4 linked regions of the Danio rerio genome follow. The protein of the gene in region 4 interacts with the protein of the main gene of each other region in a biochemical or structural test. Links are inferred from orthologs where the notes say so. Each region holds a gene or a part of one and is shown on either strand. Other genes may lie near its edges.

What was found.
Region 1: the proteins of cul1b (region 4) and dcun1d4 are reported together in a solved structure, tested with the Homo sapiens proteins (2 studies listed by BioGRID, with this or other methods). The link is inferred for Danio rerio from reciprocal best matches to the Homo sapiens genes CUL1 and DCUN1D4.
Region 2: of the proteins of cul1b (region 4) and senp8, one has a biochemical effect on the other in vitro, tested with the Homo sapiens proteins (2 studies listed by BioGRID). The link is inferred for Danio rerio from reciprocal best matches to the Homo sapiens genes CUL1 and SENP8.
Region 3: of the proteins of cul1b (region 4) and si:ch1073-205c8.3, one has a biochemical effect on the other in vitro, tested with the Homo sapiens proteins (7 studies listed by BioGRID). The link is inferred for Danio rerio from reciprocal best matches to the Homo sapiens genes CUL1 and UBE2M.

Annotation. Positions count from the first base shown.
Region 1 is NC_133195.1:25,817,083-25,820,650, forward strand, and holds part of dcun1d4 (DCN1-like protein 4), read right to left. Parts: coding exon 3,521-3,568; intron 1,704-3,520; coding exon 1,615-1,703; intron 1-1,614. UniProt on the Homo sapiens protein: Contributes to the neddylation of all cullins by transferring NEDD8 from N-terminally acetylated NEDD8-conjugating E2s enzyme to different cullin C-terminal domain-RBX complexes which are necessary for the activation of cullin-RING E3 ubiquitin ligases (CRLs).
Region 2 is NC_133182.1:57,822,483-57,826,674, reverse strand, and holds the start of senp8 (sentrin-specific protease 8), read left to right. Parts: upstream 1-1,350; 5' UTR 1,351-1,444; intron 1,445-4,192. UniProt on the Homo sapiens protein: Protease that catalyzes two essential functions in the NEDD8 pathway: processing of full-length NEDD8 to its mature form and deconjugation of NEDD8 from targeted proteins such as cullins or p53.
Region 3 is NC_133194.1:51,592,675-51,596,887, forward strand, and holds the start of si:ch1073-205c8.3 (NEDD8-conjugating enzyme Ubc12), read left to right. Parts: upstream 1-1,363; 5' UTR 1,364-1,461; coding exon 1,462-1,576; intron 1,577-3,246; coding exon 3,247-3,341; intron 3,342-3,446; coding exon 3,447-3,485; intron 3,486-3,670; coding exon 3,671-3,774; intron 3,775-4,213.
Region 4 is NC_133199.1:21,267,504-21,271,527, reverse strand, and holds the start of cul1b (cullin-1b), read left to right. Parts: upstream 1-1,174; 5' UTR 1,175-1,243; intron 1,244-4,024. UniProt on the Homo sapiens protein: Core component of multiple cullin-RING-based SCF (SKP1-CUL1-F-box protein) E3 ubiquitin-protein ligase complexes, which mediate the ubiquitination of proteins involved in cell cycle progression, signal transduction and transcription.

The sequences.
Region 1 (3,568 bases), on a different chromosome or scaffold from region 4:
ATACCAAAAACTGTCAAAACACTCCATGTGTCTTCAATGGTTAAATCGGAATATCATGAAGCTACTAGAATAATTTTCTGCACACATAAACCAAGAATAACAACATTATTCAACGGTTTCATTTCCTCAGTGTCAGTATAGAGTGCACATTCATGAGAAGGCGTATTCGAGATATATGTCAGCAGCACGACCAAGTGCAAAATGCAGAACAGCACTCTCATGAATGTGCACCCTATACAAACACTGAGGAAAAGAAACTTGTGAATGAAGTTGGCATGGGCCGGTATAAGATTCTAAGGGCATGATAACCTTAGATAAAAATGTCACTGCTCCAAAATAAGTTCATTTAAATGTCTAGGTAAAAAGCTACAACTATTTTTGCCAATGGAACACAGTTTACTTTATTTAAAGAAACATTGAAAATATTTTAGATTAGTAGTTTTTGATGGGGAGGTTTTATCTTCTGATGAAGATACAGTTGTAAGTAAATAGTTATGAAAAACGTGAAAAAAAACAAAAAAATAAAACGATGTTTTTTTTTTTTATGGTGAACTAACTCTTTACACCATACGTCTAAAGCTCAATTCCTGGATTGCCGCAGCTTTGCATAGTTCGACTCCAACCCTAATCAAACACAGCTGATCCAACTAATTAAGGTGTTCAAGACTACTGAGTGGTACAGTACGGTACGGTACACTTTTATGGCCGCTTCCACTGTCAATGTACCTAAAAACAATACGTACTGTACCACTTTTTGGGTACACTTTTGGAAGGCTATTGGTTTATAGAGATACATCACTAGTTCGTGGAAAAGCAGCAGAATGAAAACAAAGGAACCGCTATTTTTTTAAACACAGCTGAGACATTACACCATAATAATATATACATATAATTACCAGCCATGGTCAACCTGAGCTTAAACAAAACTTGTCGTCATCTTGATAAACAGTCACAAAGCCAAGATGAAGAGCAGAATCTACTATTGGTACCCCTTTGGCAGTGGAAACACAAGCCTGCTAAAGGTGACCCGTACTGCACCGTACTGTACCACTCAATGGAAACAGGCTATTAAGCAGGTGTGAGTTGGAGGTAGAGCTGCGGCCCTCCAGGAATTAGGTTTGAGACCACTGCACCATGATTAAGAATATACAAATGTTATTGAAAGGAATGTTTACTACATATAATCCACATGTTTGGCAAACCACCCTGGTAGTGTCTCATTAAACCTCAATATTAGTAGACATCATCAGAAGCCACTGGTATTATTTTGTTTTGCATGTGTATGTTTTTTGACTCTCTAAGTACCAATAGATATGCGTTTCCACAGTTCCTCCACCGTTTCATCTAAAACATTTCTTTAACGTTCTACTATACACAAAAAAAAATCTTGGGTGGTCTGAGGGTTAGTAAAGTTACAGCAGTTTTTCCTTTCTGAGTGAACTAAATAGCAGAGAGTAGCCTAAATTTAGCTGACATTTTCCCTGCCTTCTAGACATTATCAAGTCAAATTACATCAACTCAGCCAATTTTGATCTGATTATACCTTTTCTAGATTACATAAAAAAGTCCAAAGAATAGCACAATGACTGAATATGACTGATTTTGCCCACATACCTGCATATTCATAAAACCACTCTAAACATCTCTTGCTAGAAAAAGCTTCGGCTTCCTGGATTTGCAATGCCTCCTGTTTTCTGTAAACACTGAAAAAAACAGACAGGACAAAGCGACGGCTATTTAAACACACATTAGCACACACTTGTACACAGATTAAGGCACAAGCATGATGCATCTGATACAAATAAGAAGAGACACATGCTCTGAGGGCAGAAATCCACCCACACAAACACAGATCTGGTGGTACAATTAGCAGTTATGAAAGTTATGCAACTTTCTTTTAACATTACTGTAGAGATCTGTTTCTGTCATGGATAAATGCTAATCCTAATTGATCTGACAGAATCCTAGTTGACTTACTCAATTAAAGGCTGGGTAGATGAATGAGCGTTTGTTAGGGCTGCACAATATATCGTTTCAGCATCGATAATGCAATACAACTATTGCAGATGCGCACATTGCAGGATCTGCAATGTCAGATATGACTTATTGTTGACCAGGAGCTTGTAGACTAATGGCAAAGTTGAATAATTCTGGATTTAGAGTTTATTAGTTGCATTTCCCCTTTCTTTTTCTCTCTGTTAAACATCAAATGAGTTTAAACCATGCAAGCACAAGAAACTGCTTTAACAAGGACTAATTCAATTAGATTTCATAGTGACTATATGGACACAATGGGCTATATGCACAGCTAGTGTTTTTCAGCCAATGATAAACTTTCAGTGAAAGCTTAATGTGACTATTTTCAATTTCATAAGGTTCCTTTTACAGCACTGATGTTGTAATGTAATAACAATACATTCAGTTAAAGAGACTTAAGCATTCGATTAATTGTTCAATTATGAAATAAGAAGAAAACCGCAGTCAGTATCAGCAGGTTAGCGCAGAAACTCCATTGAAAATACTGGGGCAAAATAAACTGTCATATTTTAAAGACATGGCAGGGGAAATGGATTAAATGCAGTGCTTCTTGTCCGGTCTGAGACCCACTTCATATCATATATCTATCAGGCAGTGATGATCACTGATTTGTAAAGAAATCAGACCTTAAACCTGGCAATTTTACAATGGAAAGAGAGTTTACCGGATGAGCTGAGGCTGCCTGGCTGAAATGAAAAGTCTGTGTGCATATACGCCATTACAATATTTTTATCCAACTGCCATTAATACCAGACACATATAAAACACTTGTTATTTCTCATTTGTATGTTTCCCCCATCATAAAAATCTATTTTAAAGTTCATTTTAATAATTTATGTAGATGCACTCCTGTATTAAATCACCCCAAACATTGAGTTCTTCACAAAAACAGTTCTATCCATCTGATAAAATAAATGTTGTATCATTGTATGTGTGTGTGTGTGTGTGTGTGTGAGGGAATAAAAAAAGATGGAAAATGGACTAAAATGAATAGCTGGATAAAAAAGATAACTAGAGAAGAATTGGACTACTAGTGTATAACATAATAACTTGAAAAAATGCCAGAAATTCTTCCAACTACTGAAAAAAAATTCAAACTTTTGGTAAGAAGCAAAAAAGTCAGTACTCAAAAATAGTTTCAGGTTGATCCTTCAACAAGAGGTCAATGGATAGGAATTGTAATAGAATTGCACTGTATGGAGAGACTGACATTTAACCTCAGACTTGATAAAAAAGTACAACAAGTATTGGTAAAATGGACTGAGTTTGTCATTGTAAACAATATGTGATCATGTGCTTCAAATGTATTGTAAATTTTGTAACCCCCATGACAACCACTTTGTTACCCCCCTTTTCTAATTTTATTTATAATTTTTAATCATGTTTTTTTCCTAAATTTTTTTTTTTAAAGAGAAAAAGGGGAAATGAAAAGCTGGAGAAATGTATATATAAAAAAGGTCAATGTTATTTTATTTGAGCATACTTATCCTGCCGGCTCTTCTTAGCAGACAGGTCATCTCCAGCAGTGGGT
Region 2 (4,192 bases), on a different chromosome or scaffold from region 4:
TATAAAGAACCATGGTAAACAATACAGGGAGCATGTCAAAAGTTGTCACTGAACGAATGTGCACATATAAAACCAACTTAACCTCAATGTCAAATGTTGCTAACGTGATGAACATTTCTGGCTACTCTGAGAACACCTAAAAGTGAACTTCACACATCCACTATTCAAATCACTGCAACATCAGATGAATAAAGGTCAAACAAACTGACTAAGACAAATTTATAAAACAAAAAAGCAGCAGTATCATTTGTTAACAGTAGCAACTTTGTATACTAGTCCACCAAATAAATGCAATGGCATCGATACACCCTTAAGTCCACAAATACTACTAGGACCACTGATTGTCCAAAAATAGACCAGTGAATGAAAGGGAAATGAAACATTGTGACAGGGTCCGGATGACTGTGCAGATTTGCCCCGTGATTACTGCAGTGCTGGGGTGAAGTAAGTCTTCAATAATACATGCACCATCATCATCATCATCATCCTCGTTGTCTCCACCCAGGACATCTGTCACACTTCAAAAGGGGTTTACTCAGCGGCTCTATAATGTCAGCTCAAAGTTATTCTAACATAAGTACACTCATATCACCCTTCGCCGGTTACCCTGGTGTCTACTGACACTGAAGCAAGAGAAATATCACAATTTGGTGATGCACGTATGCCACGAGTTAGCGCGCAAACGTCCCGACAAGCAGACATAAAGCAAGGGATGAAACTCTGATGTCTCGCTCGCTCCCACTGCTGCTGGGGAACTTCGATTCAACAGCGGGTCGGGTTAATGGGAACGATAAGTTCGCCGACAGCATAAGTGCAAAAACAACACAGAATAAACCTCACCTCTATGAGCTCAGTGTAAAAATCCAGTGTGCTGCGCTTCTCCTTTAAGGACAGATCAAATCCAGCGCAGCTCTAATATCCCAGAAAGGTCTCTCTCAGATTGTCCTTTGCAACTTTCCCGTGTCCAAACATGCGTGCCGTTGTGCCATTTTGATTAAAAGAAAACTACAGGCTTTTTCCCCATTGAAAATTCCTAACAGTGCGCCGTTTCTTTTCTCGTGGGAGTCGCTCGCTGAAACTCCTTTCTGTTTTTTCTGCTTAATCAGTGCTGCTTCTCATCAGCGTTCAAGCGCGCGCTGCGCGTACTCGCTGCGGCTCTTGGACTCGGCGGATGGGCGGGGTCAGCTGCGGCGATGGGCGGTGGCTGCCTTTCACAGAACAAATACGTAACTAGACGCGTCACGACAACAAGCCAATCAACGACGAGCTTGAGAAAGAGGCGTGTACGTCTGATCCGCCCCTTAAAGACTGTCGCAAAGGGTGTAAAAGCACGACATTTTCTGTCACAACATTTAAATGTTTACGGCAGCTGCCCTCATCGCGCCAGTGGTAGAGAAAGGTGGACGGTATGATAGTTTTATTTTGGTGCTGTTTCTTTTGCGAGGTAAGAAACGATGTTTACAGACTAGATTAACAGATAAAGAAGGTAGAGAACGAAAAATTATTTGCTTTGGAGTCGTTGTGTTAGTTTGGCCTGCACCAGTGTAGTGCATGGAAGACAACTTTAATGCTCGAGAACGGTTAAAATAATAGTGTAAATACTGTAACGTTAATAGGCTATTTTGAAGGGGTCTACTTATGTTACTAAAAAGTACAGGTCAGGGTGTAAGTGTTGTTCTTGAAATAATTACAAAACTAAAGTGATATGAGCTGGTGATAAATTACTGTTAGTAGAATGGGCAGATGAACTGATATGTCAACACATTGATGAATAGATTTTATAACATAGTATTAGCCACTAGAGTATGCATTTAAATCAATAAAATCTCTAAATTGTCTCCACAGTTTATGCAAATAACTTTGGCACATTTAATTGCAGATGCTTTTACACATTTTAAGTGCAGTTGAAGCCAGAATTATTAGCCCCCCTGTTTATTTTTTCCCCATCTTATGTTTAACGAAGAGAAAAAAATAACACCTTTCTGAACATAATAGTTTTAATAACTCATTTCTTATTACTGATTTATTTTATCTTTGCCATGATAACAGCACATAATATTTGATTAGATATTTTTCAAGACACTTCTATACAGATTAATGGGAAATTTTAAGGGTTAACTTGGTTAATTTGGGTTACCTAGGCAGGTTAGAGTAATCAGGCGAGTTATTTCTATAATGATGGTTTGTTCTGTAGACTGTATCAAAAAAATAGCTGAAAGGGGCTAATAATTTTGTCCTTAAAATGGTTTAAAAAAAAATAAAAACTGCTTTTATTCTAGCCGAAATAAAACAAATAAAAAAACATTATCAGACATACAGTGAAAAATTACTTGCTCTGTTAACATCATTTGGGTAAATATTCAAAAATACAAATAATAATAAAAAAATATATATATATATCAAATGGGGGTTAATAATGGGGTAAATCATTTTGACATCAGCTGCATACACCATGACAAGTATTCAATTATTTAAATTTTACTATAAATAACATATTTATTGTGTAATCAGTAGAATTAATAGTACAGCCATAACGGCAAATAGGTAGTTATGTAAGCATATAAATAAATAACTACACTGAAAATGGTGCTGTTTAGGAAAATACAAACCAAAGGGGTCCCACACTTTTTGAAAGTAAATGAATTTTACACGTATTTATTCAAGGCCTGACAAGTACCTAAAAACAAACATAGGTCATTAAAAGTGCTTGAATTAAATATGAAATAAAATTTGTTATGTAATTTAAACAATTTTACTGCTGTTAAAAACTGTTTAGAAAACTGAGAAATTCTTCATTTTAAAATCTTAAATTTAAGTCTAGTACAGTAACGCTGACAAATAATGTGCATTTTATTAATATTTCAGAAACTGCACTTGAGTATTACCTGCATTGAAATCAACAAATTTTATTCACGTTCTTAGAACATGTCTGTTTTTAAATGGTATTTTTTACTGTGACATTTTTAGGTGAAGTGAATTGTTAAGTACAGTAAGGACTTTCACACACTAAATAAGCTGGGGTGTAAATTACAAAGGAGCTTGATTTAAAGTTATGATGCTTTAAAAAGTCTTTGAATATGCTGTTTGTAAAAGTTACCTCAGATATTAGTTGCCACAGTGAGACAGTACTAATAAAAAATAAAATAAAGAAATATAAATTGTTGGGAAATAACAAATTTAATAAGTTAGTAAGATCAATACAGTCAGTGGTTGTGTCATTAGTATATATGTTGATAAATAGATTTGTAACGTATTCAAATGATGCTGTGAATGGTAAATAAAAACATCTTTATATAGTCATTCTATTATTTGCAGTAAATGAAACATCCTAAAGTGATGCTGGAGCACTTTCAAAGTAACCTTTAAATTGTATTATTGTTGAAATGACCTACTATTACAGTAGGTACACAGAAATGTGAGTACTGAGGGTAAAAAAGGCTGTTACAACATGAAAATAGTGAGTGGGGATAGTAAAATGTACTGTTTAGGCCAGGGGTGCCCAAACTCAGTCCTGGAGGGTCGTTGTCCTGCATATTTTAGTTTCAACATCAATTAAACACACCTGAACCAGCTAATCAAGCTCTTTCTAGCTATACTAGATACTTCCAGACAGGTGTGTTGAAGAAAGTTGGAGCTAAACTATGCAGGACACTGGCCCTCCAGGACCGAGTTTGGGCACCTCTGCTTTAAGCGATTTATTTATTTTAGAAAATAAGTAGATTAAGTTAATAATAATAAAAATAATAATAATAATGTAATTGTGCACTTTTACAATTCAATCTGTACAAATGCAACCAAACAAATTATATTAATTATAACAAAAATCAATTGATGACATGACATGACTAATACCAACTAATTATCATTTGCACCTTTTTTGGCCAGTGCTGTTTCCACAACTAGGTTTTGGCCATTTTCCAGCAATACAATTTGAAATAATTTACAATATAATTTAAAATGCATTAGCAAAGTCCTTTTATATATATTTTAATAATTACATGAGAATAAGTATGTTGTTGCATTTTTACATGTATATAATTTACTCTGAATAATGATATAACACAATCTGACCCATTTGTTACTTTTTAAACAATATTTTACACATAAAAAAAAAGTATATGCACTTTATTTGCATAATCACTTTTGTAGATATAATCTGATGCAGACACCAAAATGGAATCTCATCTTTGAC
Region 3 (4,213 bases), on a different chromosome or scaffold from region 4:
CTACAGTGATGGATGACTGAGGTAACTACTGGCACTGTGGTTACCATGGCATTTATACAGTATGTGGGTTACGCTGTCACACACACACACACAGACAGGTGAAATAAGGGCCTAAATGACAGAAGCAGAGCAGAGAACACACGTTCATCACAAGCACAGCTTTACCATCAGTGGATGAACACACACACACACACACACACACAGCAGAGAGAGAGAGAGAGAGAGAGAGAGAGAGAGAGAGAGAGAGAGAGAGAGAGAGAGAGAGAGAGAAAGCGCTAACCAGCTAACCAACCCTCACACAGTCCAGCGGCAGCAGATCGCAGGTCTGAAACACACACACACACACACAAATAAACAGACACGCTAGTTAGCAGGTTAGCAGCTCCATCCAGCAGCGCTACTAACCCTAACCAGCAGCTGAGGGAAGAGAATTTGGCCCAGGGTGGGTTAGTTTAAATGAGCAGTTCTCTCCCTCACACACACACACACACACACACACACACACACACACACACACACACACACACACACAGATGACTAGCTGAGCAGCACACAGGACTGCCGTTAGAGAAGCAGCCTATCTAGTGCCCTCACCTGCTCGTGTGGAGGCGCATACTCTCTGGCCGAGCATCGGACTGTTTCTGCGGCGGAACACAATGAGCTTCCGTGTTTCTGCTGCTCAGCCCTCTCACCGAGCCGTTACCGACACCGAGAGGCTGATCCCGGTCCCTCAGCCCTCCAGCCGCTCAATCCCCGCCGTGTGGATCCGCAGGCCGGTGTTCGGGAGCGCAGCGGCGGATAAACGTGTCTTTTGTTCGCGCTCCGCTATTGTGCTGCTGCGCGTCTGATGGCGGATCCGCGTTCATTCAGCAGCAGACGCGGGAAACGGGCCACAACCTCTGACAGGACGCTGACGCCATCACATGCGATTCTGCTCCCCGAAATCAAATAAATAAATAAATATGGTAAATAAAAAATATGGAGAGTAAAAAAATAGCAAAGCTCCTCCCAGTCCTCTGGTCACCGCCGAACGGCACTATGGGAAATGTGGTCCGCCGGTGCCCTACCCAAAACATCCGCTTTCAGTATCACCGCAGATTTATGATAAAACTGACACAATTATATAATAGCTGTTATTAAAAAAACATTCATCTTGACAACAACAACACTATCAACAATAAGAAGATTTATTAACTTTAAAGTATAAGTTTGCGGTTTCTGTCTAGTTAATTGTGTTCTGAAATCAGCTGAAAGAACAGTGTGTGAACAGAGCTAGCATTTGCGGCTAACACACACACTCACACAGGGAGAGAGAGAGAGAGAGAGAGAGACTGACTCACACACACCGGCTCCCTCTACAGCTGCTGTGAAACACACTCACACACACACACACACACACTCTCTCTCCCTCAGAGCGCAGCTCCCGAACACACCGCGCTGTTTGCTCTGCAGAGGCCGAAGATGATCAAGCTTTTCTCGCTGAAGCAGCAGAAGAAGGACGAGGAGTCAGCCGGCGGGCCGCGCGCGGGGGGCGGCGGGAAGAAGGCGAGCGCGGCCCAGCTGCGGATACAGAAGGGTGAGAGACACACACACACTCTTGCTCTCGCGCACACACATATACACGCACGCAAACACACCGGGCCGGTACCGGAGCTCGCACAGCCGCGGGGCCGCCGACCGGGTCGCTGAGGAGAAACAGCGATAGCGTTAGCATTAGCCGCGCGCTAACAACATCCGGCGCTCCTCGGAGATTCTGGCCCATAAAACAAGACAAAACAGACAGTTTAGACATTCACAGTCCGAGCAGGAGGAGAACACCGATCAACCGTCGAGCTGCGCGGACAACTCTGCGTTTCTGCCCGCGGAGAGGTAAAGTTTAAGTCTCAGTCAAAACACTGAGGCCTACAGACCCGGAGGAGGAGGAGAGCTGGAGCTGTTCATAACCAGAGGAGACCTTCAGCAAAGATCTGCTGTGCTCCACAAACCATCCACACGATATCACACACACAGTAACAGTCAAACTGGAGTGAGTGTGTGTGTGTGTTCATACAGCTGAGCAGAGTCTGGTCCCCATTCAGCAGAAACACCAACTCGGCTGAGGAAACACAGCCGATACTGATGAGGAGAAACGGCTTTAAACACACACACACACACACACACACACACACACACACACACACACACACACACACACACACACACACACACACTGTTTTAACTGTTCCAGGGAAGTGTCCTCAGTTAAGTTAATAAAGCACAGTGTGTTTTCGGCTGTTCTCCATCACTCACGCTTTATTTGCTCCACACCTGTGAGTTACTTCTAATAAACACAAAAGAAGATAGTGTGAAGAATGCTGGAGGAATCTGGCTTTGACTTCCGGTGTTGGTTTTTCCTACTCTGGACCTGAAAGTTTGCAGTGTTGTTCAGATGTGCTGCTTTGAGAGGTGAGCGGTGTGTACATGAGCAGAGCTCTCCTGCGGGACCCTTTAACACTCTTACACACTTTGAGTCTTGTTTTAAGACCCAATCACGACCGCTGTAACAACAATGACGCGGCTTTAATATTTAGATGAGCGTGAACAGAAGCTGAAGATGCAGAGGAACAGCCCCACTGCTTCTGTACAAACCACCGACAGCCAATCAGAATCAGCCTGCGCAGACGAGGATCATGGGACGCTGAGCTCTGGGTGATGGCACTGCCTGTATGATGCTGTAGTTCATGTGTTGTTGTATGACTTGTTAATCTACGCTGCGGCTGACATGGCCACAACACATAAACACATGATGACAAGCCCTGATCAACACAGACGGCTGATGGAGGAGTGTGGAGATCAGCACCTCCTCTGTGTGCTTCTGCTCATCAATAATGACTGTACTGGCCCACACTGATGAAGAACAGCAGGAGATGAAGCAGCCGTGGTGGAGCAGAGAGGTGTGCACGTGTGTTTTTGTGACATATCAGGACACAAATCTGTATATGACAGGTGTAACACGGGTATTACAAAAAGGTGAAATCTGTGGACATTGGTGACGTCCTCATTTCTCCAAAAGCTTCTAAATCCCACTGAGTGAGGGAGAGAGTAAAGCTGCACACCGGCTCCTGTGATGGCTCGGGTTAGGGCAATACTGTATACGGTTTGAACAGTATAAAATTAATGGAAACCTATGTAATGTCCCCGCTTTTCACAAAAACAAGTGTGTGTGTGTGTTAGAGAAAAGCTAATGCTGCTGTTTCTCTTTGTCAGACATCAATGAGCTGAACCTCCCGAAGACCTGCGAGATCGTCTTTCCAGACCAGGACGACCTGCTGAACTTTAAGCTCATCATCTCTCCAGACGAGGTGTGTGTTCTGTGTGCTGAGGAGTGTGTGTGTGTGTGTGTGTGTGTGTGTGTGTGCTGATCTGGGGAAGCGCTGTACTGACCGCTGCTCGTCTTCTTTCCTCAGGGTTTCTATAAAGGAGGGAAGTTCGTCTTCAGTTTTAAGGTGAGCAGCAGAGGGGCGAGCGGCGCGTCCGTGTCCAGCTCTCTCCAGTGTGCTGTCGCCGCTGCACTCACACTGTTCTGCTTGTTTCTGTAGTGTTCTGATCTGTATGTGAGTGATGTTGTGAAACTTCCGTGCGCTGATCTCTGCCGTTGTGGGAAGGTTTTTCTGACGTGTTTCTCCTTTAGGTAGGGCAGGGTTATCCGCACGACCCCCCCAAAGTCAAGTGTGAAACGATGGTTTATCACCCCAACATTGACCTGGAGGGAAACGTCTGTCTAAATATACTGAGGTATGGTGTGCAGCTTTACACTGTTGCTCATCTCCATCTTCTTCCAGCTGAACACATTCATCTCTTAATGCTCAGGCTGTTTCTACATGCATCTCTCATTTCTCTTTGCTATTTGGGCTTATTGGAAGCTGATTAGAATAAAACGTGAGGATCATCTTCTGATAAGATGTACTTTTAGAGGAAAGTGATGTTCATATATGTGGACTGAATGTACATAAACACTGTTTCCTGCCTGTCTGTAATGCATATTTAATATAGGAATATTTTGAACATGTTTTGACTATCAGAGAGTGAAATCAACATTTTTGCCCATTATGGACGGTTAAAACAGTGTTTGGGACACGTCATATGCTGCAGAACAGTTGCAGGATGATTCTGTGTGTCTGTAACAACATATAAAACACTCAGACTATCTTAAACAGACCCTGCAGAGCTCGAG
Region 4 (4,024 bases):
TGATTCGTGTCCAATCAAATCACACAAAGAAGTTAAATCGCATCACAATGAACTACCTCAAGACAAGGGCGATTTATAATTTCAGCAAACAGTTTGGAAGCATTAAACATGTCCAAGATGTCTAAATTTTTACATGCATTGACCCAGAGGCTGTTTAGATGCATGTCTTTGAAAAAAAAATTAAGGATGTTTACTGTATGATGACCAAAATGGCCTTAATCAAAGACGCAAGACATCAACATCATGTCAGATTGACATTGTACCCTAACGTCAATGTCCAACCTATACCAAATATCAACGTCTAATGATGTTACAGCTTGTTGTTGTGTGGATGTTACCACTACGTCTATCAGACGTTGGATTTTGGTTTCCATACCTGACGAATAAGTGTCAGTACTTGACGTCAATGACATTGGTTTTAGATGTTGGCTGGACGTTGGATTTTGGTCACTTTCCAACACAACCTAAAATCAACCAAATATCACCGTCATTTGACGTCATTATTGGACATCAAAATAACATCCCTAGACCCTGGCTATTGAATTTTGGTCACCTGACATCACAACCTAAATCTAACCTAGTATTAACGTCTTATGATGTCGTGTGCCTGCTGGGCAATAACTAAATGCACTACAGAATGTTACGTTTACACACACATGCACAAATTACATGTAAACAAATCAGCTTTTTACAGCGTAATACTCACTAGTCACTACTCTCGAGTACTTTTGGAAGGTCTACTTTTTTTTGGAAGGTTTACTCATACTTTGAGTAATATTTACAACAGATACTTTTACTCTACTTCCACTACATTTTAAGCAAGTAATGGTACTTTTACTTGAGTATGATTTTTCAGTTCTCTTTCCACCACTCACTGACTGAGTAATATTTACAACAGATACTTTTACTCTACTTTCAACTACATTTTTAGGCAAGTAATGGTACTTTCACATGAGTATGATTTTTCAGTACTCTTTCCACCACTGGTGGGTTTTACACACATTTTTTGAGTCATTCGCAGCAGGAATGGTCAAAGTGGTTCCTGGCACCTGAAAGAGTGAAGCTCCTACGCAGCTGGTGTACTACGGTGAGTGGACAGTAGGCGTCGCTGTGTGTCTCTGCGCTGTGGCGTATGACGTTTCACTCGCTCTAATACGGAATTCCCAGTCATCTCCAGTCAAACACACACAGACTGAGCGCAGGGCCTCGACCTCACACTGCTCGACGTTACAAACACACACAGGTAAGACTAAAAATCTTTAAACACGTGTCAGGCGTCCCGGTTTGACATAAATGAAAACTAAATGGACGTGTCTGGCAATGTGTCGATAAGGAAGAGAGACATTTTTGTGATATTACACACCAGTTAAGAATAGGTAGCCATTTTACATCATTATATCTCAAAAGCCTCGGAGAATAACAGTAGTGGGTTAATAACAAATGTTTGTCTTGATTTTCAGGTTATATTTAAATGACGTACGTTTGGTTGACATTATGGTATTAATAGTTCCTCTTAGCGGCAGTTTACAAGGAAGGGTACCTGAAGCTAACGAGCTTGCTACCTAGCATTGCTAATCTATTGATGCTGTTTACAAAACAATATCGCCATATAAATGTTCATGAATTAAATACTTAGTGCGTTTAATGTGTTAAGAAGTATATTATGGAGACCTAAAGCTGTAAACAAATGCTGAGGCAAAACGAAGAGTCCTTTACACACATTCACATGAATTCTGCTGTCTCAGATGCCTACCCTAGACAGCACTTTTGGCCCAAAATGTTGTCTACTGGGTTGGCAGTTTTTGAGACATAGACATTTTAATTGGTTTTCATTAAGTTTCCTAAACCTCATGTGCCAGTGTGAGGTAAGTTTTCCTTTGAAATTATAACCTCAGTCAGGAGTTTTCAAAGTGGTTGGTTTATGAGTCATGCTAATGTTTGGGTATGTGTCAACACACATCAGTAGGTTTTATATAAATGTAAGGGGTTAAAATAGTAATGTAGTTTTGTGCAACTGTCACTCATAATGTACTATCACATTATGTTAGGGTGTTGAGAAAAATTATTTGTTGCGGTTTGTGTCTTTTTCAGAGTTTGTCTAATTTATTCTGAGCTCTTATGAATTTTTGTATTGGTGAGAGTACATACGTTTACAGAAAACACAGTAAAACGTGACAGTAGTTTATAGGACAAATGTTTTGTCAAGCATATTTTGGAAAAGAATCACTTGGCATATTACAAGATCAATTTATAATAACAACTATTTCATTGAATTTTACCAGTGCTTGTCTAAAAGCTAGATCTTATTTTGAAATTCATTAAAAAAAAAAAAAAAAAAAATATATATATATATATATATATATATATATATATATATATATATATATATATATATTTGATCACTTAAAGTTTGTACCATTTAATTATTTGTGATTATATGCTAGCAGAAGTTAACAAGTAATAGTTGACATATCTCTTGTGTGTTTTTGATATGCTTCACTAGTGCTTTGCATCAATGATTTACAGACGCTACTTGGATTCCATTCTGTTCTTGATTTCATTGGCAATATAAATGCAATAAAAGGGATACAGATTTTTCTAAAAATGAACAGTGAGCACCATTTTATAAAGACTGAATTAATCTCCATTAATATAGGCCTTGTGGCTTAACTTATCAATGCTTTCTGTTTGCCACCAAAATTCTTAATTAGAACGAATACTTAGTAGGGATACCCTAATAAATGTTTGTCTTTTAATGAATGTAAATGATTAGTTCTAGTCTGATTCTTCTATTTTCTTTTTAGTTGTACTTTTCTATTTTCAGCTTCTTGTCTTATACTGACACTTTAGCTTACACGGAGAATTCAAATTCTGTTTTCATTTACTAACATTTACTATTTACTTGTTTCAAACCAACTTGAGTTGTTTTGTTGAACACAAAAGAAGATATTTTGAAGTATGTTGGAAACCTGTAACAAGTTAGGAAAAGCATGCTATGAAAGTCTGTGGTTACAGGTTTCCAACATATCCATATTTTGATTTAAATCCAACATTTTGTAATATAAAGCTCAATATTGTTTGGAAAAAGTTGAGAATGAGTAAATGGTGACAGAATATCATAAATGAACTTAATTCAAACACAACACTTTAATCAAGTGGAAGGATTAAGCTCATAATTATAGAAACTATAATTATTTTAAAGTATGTGATGTGCGGTTATTTAAATTGCAGTAAGCAGACATGTAAACCCTAGGGCTGCACGATATTGAAAAAATATGATATTGCGATATTTTATTCATCTGTGATATATAATTGCGATATGAATACAATTTAATTGATTTGGACTGATTGTGATGGTTTTGTAGGAGAGAGAATCATTCATGAAATATAATAAACACATTAAACGCTTGGATAAATACAATAGAGCTAAATTAAAAGTAAAATAAACAGCGCTATATGATTTTTGTTGGGACTCTAACAGTATTTAGCTACAGAAATCGAATAATTAAATGTAAATGAGCACTGTACAGTTTCATAAATAATTTAAAAAAAAACTATATCATTAATTAAAGTTACAAATGGTACAATTTCTAGTGCCTGAATGTTCACACAGTGATAGGCTTTAAAGAGCCCATATTATTCATGAAATAGGGTCATATTTTGGTTGTAAGGGTCTCCAACAACAGTCTAATATGCATGCAAGGTCAAAAAACACTTTCATGGTCTTATTATCTGCATTTATTTTTACCTAATTATCCCAGCGACTCCCGTATGAATCGTCCAGTGATTCAATTGTTCCCAAACCCCTCCTTAGCGCGAAGCTAATCTGCGCTGATTGGACCGATGACAGTCTGTTGCGAATGGTTGACACTAACTGCTTTCAGCCAGAGACAGAGCGAATAGCCAGCAGCTAATCAACAATATAGAAGTAGTCAGAGTGTATACACGCTCGATAGTGTAAGGCGTGGAGTTTAGCTGCCAGTGGATGAATGTAAATACAGACGACTAACTATTTTATTGAGCA